Linked DNA regions of Kluyveromyces lactis. The protein of the gene in region 1 interacts with the protein of each later gene in a biochemical or structural test. Links are inferred from orthologs where the notes say so. Each region holds a gene or a part of one and is shown in the gene's direction. Other genes may lie near its edges.

Region 1 (3,349 bases):
GCCTAGGCATGTGCATCTGTGTGCATAAGTAAACGATGTGGCTTGTCTGTTAACTATATTCTGGAAATATGTCAGCAAAGGAAATAAAAAAAAACTAAAAATCCGTTGCAGCGATGAACTGTGAACGGTTCAATTAACGTAAATGCGGTGAAAATTTGTTTACTTTTGTCTATGTATATGCATGTACTTCTTGAAAGTCAGGTCTTCGTAAACAGTTTCAGTAGTGTTTCTACACAGTCTTGGATCGATTCAAAACTAATGGGTTCAGTTTCTCTGAGTTCGTCTCTGAAAGCGAATTCAGACGCCTTGTACGTCATCTTGTACAATTTTTCGTGTTGAGTTCGATGAACTCCTCGTAGCCTGAGTCCTGAAAGTATGCACTGAGACAGCAACGACATAAATTGCTGCTGTTGATCGTTGAGCAAGACTTGTTTGTTCAACGAGTTACTTTTCAGTATTCGCTGACGTTTGTTCTTCTCTAGAATCGATTCGATCGACATCGTTGCTCCAGCGTTACTTGGCACAACAGATTGTAGTTCGTCGGCTGATAACGGTATCAATTTCTTATCAAGTTCGTGTTTAGTCGATAAGTGAAGTACCATCGATTCAATTTCGAAAGACGCGTTTATATCGGTCTTCAAACGCTTGTAGAATAGGAAATATTCGAATTGCTCTTTCGTCAACACTTGGGATCCCGTTACTTTACATACAATTCCTCGATTCCTGTGTCGTTGTCTCATCAACTTCGCTCTGAAATAATTGACGCTGGTCTCGCTAGTAGTGAAGCATTGGTACCGTTGACCTCTATTGAGCCAAAACGGCAGCTTATCAATGTTGACCATTCCAACAACTTCTGCCAGACAATTTTTCACTGCAATTTGGCCATCACCGTCCTCAAATTCACGCCACAACTGGACGTCTCTTATCACAGTGTTATGACCCACATTAAGCCTCAAGATAAGTTCTTTTTCTAGTGTCATAGGTTCATCGCGCAACTCTCCAGGTCCAATTCCCCTAATACCAGGCCTACCGAGGTCTTCTTTCACGTTTGCTACTTTCACTTAACAATTTGAAACTGACCAGACAATGTATTCACCTCCTTTATAGTCTTAGTTTCCCTGTATATGAAAGTCCGCCGTTGTATTGTGGTTCACGGTGCAAAAGCTTAGCTTATATCCATTGTTACCATACGAATCTTTTTTCTCTCGACGCTTTCACGGCTCCAAACAAAATGCTTTCAGTTTTCAACATTGAAATAAAGTGAAGGCAAAGAAAAAAAATGTTATTGCTCAACGTAATTGAACAATAGACAGCCAGAAGTTGGAAGTGGTTAGAGACTACAGAGGCTAGAGAGTACCGTTTTGGATCACATCAGACTCTAAGTTTTGAAAACGGGAAAAGGGAGGTCATCTCTTTTTTTTTTTTGATTTCCTTCTCATCATGTCGACGTTACAACCTTCTGCGTTGAATAAGAAGAGCAAACGAGTTTATAGCGTTGCTAGGGTGTATCAGGATGCTTGTGAGAAACGCCCTCAAGAGTACTGGGATTATGAACAATGCGTGATGATTGATTGGGGTAAGATTTCGAACTATGAAGTGATAAAAAAGATTGGTCGTGGTAAATACAGTGAAGTTTTCAAAGGGAAATCTGTATTGAACGATATACCATGCGTCATCAAGGTTCTCAAGCCAGTGAAGATGAAGAAAATTTATAGAGAGTTAAAAGTGTTAACTAATTTGACAGGGGGACCTAATATAATTGGATTATTGGATATTGTTCAAGATCCAGGATCCAAAATCCCGGCATTGATCTTTGAAGAGGTGAAAAATGTCGACTTCCGTACGCTTTATCCATCGTTTACATTATCGGATACGCAATTTTATTTCACACAATTGTTAACTGCTTTAGACTATTGTCATTCGATGGGTATCATGCATCGTGATGTGAAGCCTCAAAACGTCATGATTGATCCTAATGAACGTAAGCTAAGGTTGATCGATTGGGGATTAGCAGAGTTTTACCATCCGGGAGTGGATTATAACATCAGGGTGGCGTCTCGTTATCACAAGGGACCTGAACTCTTGGTGAGCTTAAACCAATACGATTACTCTTTAGATTTGTGGGCTGTCGGATGTATGATAGCAGCTATTGTTTTCAAGAAGGAGCCATTTTTCAAAGGAAGCACGAATGCAGATCAATTGGTGAAAATTGCCAAGGTACTTGGTACGCAGGAGTTATTCTATTACTTGAAACATTACGGATTGGATCTTCCTGCAGAATACAACGATATCATGAAGAACTACGAACGGAAACCATGGAGCTATTTCGCCAATGATAAGACGCCGTTGGCTGTGGACGAAATAATTGATTTGATCGACCATTTACTACGTTATGATCACCAAGAGAGATTAACTGCAAAAGAAGCCATGGAGCATAAATTCTTCAAAAAAGATTTCTCATAGTGTATGCCTAAACGGTAATATATATCTGTTTTCTCATCTCTCTATCATCAAATTTTCTTTTCCCTCTTATCTTCCATTTATGGTTAACTTTGGGGGATTCTTCTTCTGTCTTTGATTGCTTTCCAATTAAAAGCATGTATACTAATAACATATAATTAATACAACACCTGAAAAAGAGGACAGAAACACATGTCTCTTTTGCTTAAGATTTAAAGAAGATGTAATATTATGATAGTCGTTAATTCATTAAAAAGGATATATAATTAATAGGTGTAATAGCTACCAAACCTGAAAGAAAAGGCTCTTACTAGCGCAGGCGCAGAGAGAGAGACACTACTATAAGTAGGAAAGGAAATAGACCAAAGGAATATGAAACAGGGTGGAAATAGTTACAAAAACCCATGATCGAAACTATTATTGCGGTGAAAGTTCAGTGATGAGAATTGAAAATGCCATTATTATTAGTCTATATTTCTCAATCACAGGGAAAAAAACAATCTTTTGGTATCAAATGCGTAAAGATCCCAGACCTTTGACGGATTTCGTGTAGTATGCTGTGTTAGTGGATGGGATTTTTTAAGAGGTCAGATTTCTTGGGCGAGTCAGATTACAGTTCCATTTCGTAATCTTCATCGTTTTCCTCGTCACTGTCGTGGACATCAAGAATGAAGCAATCCTGCCTCATAATCATTTCGTTGGCCCATGTATCGTTGATGGCACTAGTTCCATCATAAATGACACCACTATGATCGATCTCTCTTGTGCGAACACTATCATCGAACCTTATGTTCTTATTGTTCGAGTGGTGGGAGGGTGGAGAACCGAAGCCAGAAGAATTAGTCTTTACCAAAATAGGCTTGCTATTTTCAAAGATGGATGAAGCATC
Region 2 (3,251 bases), on another chromosome or scaffold:
ATCTCGAAGATGATGTAAGCCTTGATTTTCATGAGAAGCATGTTATCAGTCGACACGATTTACAGCCAAGGTCCATCCATATGCCGTCGATGATCCATACTCAGCCTGTCCATTTGATTCACGTTCACAATTTGAAATTTTTACAGACGAGTTTTGAAGAAGAAGATGAACAGAGAATTATTTGTTCTTCTTCTACACCACCTTCACTGGCTGACACAAGACACAGTTCTGTTTTCTCTTCTACAAGAAGTATCAACGTGTTACTGGAAGAAGACGAGCAAGATTTGGACAATGACTTGCAGTGCATGGCTCCAGTGAAGAAAAAACAGCAACGTGCATTGGTGGCACCCATCATGTTCTCCTCTTCATCTTCAAAGAAAGATTCGGTCGTTTCGGAAAAGGATCAGTTTGTTTACACGCTAACTAACAAGTTACTACCTTATTTTGGGTATTTCTTGGCTGATTCTAACGATTTGGATTATTTCGATAAGATTAGATTCCAAGAAATTGATTACAAGTTCTCCAAGACGTATTTTTGATGGAACAATCCTCATCCTTTTATCCAGATATTATTTTTCCCCCTTTGCTATAGACTGCCTGTATGATACACCTGCATATTTTTTTCCTTCTTCATCATATTTCTTACATTCATTCCTTTCTAATTCTCTACTTCATTTCAAATTACCTTCCATTTTTTTTTTTACTTTGTTTCTGTGGGTGCGGACACAAGGTGACCATGTTTAGTCAACCTTACAGGTCCCATAAACACTTCAAAAAAGAACATTCACTTCTCAATTGCAGTTTACAATCGACTTTTTTGAACATTCATTCTCAACAATGTCTGACTCTTTTCAACACATTAAAGACACTCACTCGCCTGTAATGTTTGTTTCCTCTGTTGTTTTCTGTCAATTTTTTTAATTAATTCACACTTTTACTCTGAAAAAACAGGACAAAGTATTATGCTTCGTCAATAAGATGCACTTTTTTCTTTGGTTTCCCTTGTTACTTTTCCATATCTTTAATTCTTACCATCGCATATTCTTTCAAGTTCGTTAACATCGGAAATCGATACTGTCCGCAACATGCACATCTAATTCTTCTGTAAATCATGTATTCTCATTAGCTACACATTTAACCCATATTATACATTCCGTCCAAACAAGCTGAGTCGCTGTCCGCTGTCCGGTGACAGATATTCATTAGAAATGTTTGTCATTGAATACGACAATAATTTACCCGGATATGCGTCGATTTAACAGCATCATTTTGGTAAATCTTAGCATTGAGAGTTAACTATTAGTTGATTTCTATATGAGAAGAAGAACTATCTTCCTGTTAAGATACCTTTTGGGTTGCGCAGCCTTCCAAACTTTCCAAGCATTTATTGATAAATCTTCTACCAGTCCACGAACGACATATAGAAACGAATCGTTATGAGCAGTGAGGATGAAGACGATAAGTTTCTATACAGCGATGAGGAGGATTCTAACGTAGTCGCAAAGCAAGAGGGTCCTGCATTGAAAAGACAAAAGGTCGAAGAAACACCCAAGATACTAGCTCATGATGTACCGGAAGGTAATACGAATGAGGTAGAGAGTGAGGCCTCCAATCAGGATAGTTCATCAGATGAGGATGACAGCAGTGACTCAGATTCAGATGTTGAGATTATCATCGGAACTGGTAACGATACCTCTAAGATAGATTCTGGTAAGTCCCAGATATCTGCTATAACAGACACAACGCCTCTTGGTACAGCGGATCATGCTATTGCAGCAGTGGCTGGTATATCGGACGTGGTTCCTGTACAGGAGGGTTCAATACCACCTGAACAGCAGCAGCAGCAACAACAAACTATTGATTTGAACCCGGATGCACAATTCGATGGGAAACCTATAGTACAGATCGATCCAGAAATTCTAAAGGAGAAGCCCTGGAGACAACCAGGAGCGAATATTTCAGATTATTTCAATTATGGATTTAATGAACAGACTTGGATGGAATATTTACATAGACAAGAACATTTGACGAAAGAATACAACCCACAAAAGATTTTGATGAACCTCCTAGCTTTACAGCAGCAAGGAAAGTTAAATGATCCAGGTTCAGGACAACCTGTACAGAATACAATCCAACCTCCTCCTCCGCCTATGGGACTTCCCCCCATGTTTGGTGGTTTCCCAGGATTTCCATTTCCGGGTATGATGAATAACATGCAAAATCAAAATGTATCAAGCATGAACAACATGAACAACATGAACAACATGAACAACATGAACAACATTAACAACAACAACAATAATAATCTCAACGACAAGAAATGAAATTTAGTGCTTGAGGCTCGTATTGATTGCAAGCAACATTAATGATATATAGCGGACATGTACATGTATTTTCGATTCCTTGATGGAATTGTAACACAGCTTAGTTTTAAAGACCTCATGTTGACATTTGTTATAATTAGAGAAATGACATTAATATACTATACTTCAAAAAAAATGGCAAAGACAAACTATATATCTGAATACTATAACAGTTTAAAAAGTAATGTTGTATTGTTCGTTTTCAAAAACTCTTTTGATCCATGGTTGATGGAATTTATTCAGTTCAACAACGCTGGTCAAAATTTCAACCCATTGTTGTTTTAAAAGATTAGAATCAGCGTTAAAATTTATAACTTCATCATTTGCAAAAAGGAGTTTGAAGCAATCGCTGAAAAGTACCATATCAGTAAAGTTTCTCATTTGTTTTCCAGTTGCCGTTTTACCATCAGAGTATATATCTACTACGTTTAGAAGATTCAACAAAGTTTGTGGTTTTCTGGTAACTTCGTCATGAGCTATAAGTTCAGTGCCTTTCAAAATCATATATCTTCTTTTCAACATTCCCTCTACATCACCGCCTTCTTGCCACAGGAATCCTTCATTATTGACCCTTTGCTGTTCAAGATACTTCTCGCAACACTTCTGAACTGCCTTCAGATTCTTTGGGAATCTTTCCATGGACGAAGTTCTTGGAAGATACATCACATCAACTGTAAGAGAGCAAACCTTAGATGGATTTTTCCGAGGAAGTTTCCATAATTCGTCTTCTTTATATGTTTGTGCGATTTTCTCATCAAATTCGCGCTCCCATTCATTGAGGAATTCAAAGTGTAGCTCATTTGTTTTGTATTTGATTTGTTTCAGCATATTTTTATTGACATTTACCTGGCAGCGTGCAAATGAACCATCCTTTGCGAATTTGAAGTC

The links.
Region 2: of the proteins of CKA2 (region 1) and FIP1, one has a biochemical effect on the other in vitro, tested with the Saccharomyces cerevisiae proteins (4 studies listed by BioGRID). The link is inferred for Kluyveromyces lactis from reciprocal best matches to the Saccharomyces cerevisiae genes CKA2 and FIP1.

What each region holds. Positions count from the first base shown.
Region 1 is NC_006042.1:1,518,360-1,521,708, forward strand, and holds CKA2 (casein kinase 2 catalytic subunit CKA2), read left to right. Parts: upstream 1-1,440; coding exon 1,441-2,463; downstream 2,464-3,349. Other genes in the region: SLD7 (Sld7p), read right to left, coding at 198-980; KLLA0_F16489g (uncharacterized protein), read right to left, coding at 3,071-3,349. UniProt on the Saccharomyces cerevisiae protein: Catalytic subunit of a constitutively active serine/threonine-protein kinase complex that phosphorylates a large number of substrates containing acidic residues C-terminal to the phosphorylated serine or threonine.
Region 2 is NC_006041.1:534,319-537,569, forward strand, and holds FIP1 (cleavage polyadenylation factor subunit FIP1), read left to right. Parts: upstream 1-1,436; coding exon 1,437-2,324; downstream 2,325-3,251. Other genes in the region: transcription factor IME1, read left to right, coding at 1-539; BUD4 (Bud4p), read right to left, coding at 2,538-3,251. UniProt on the Saccharomyces cerevisiae protein: Polymerase-regulating component of the cleavage and polyadenylation factor (CPF) complex, which plays a key role in polyadenylation-dependent pre-mRNA 3'-end formation and cooperates with cleavage factors including the CFIA complex and NAB4/CFIB.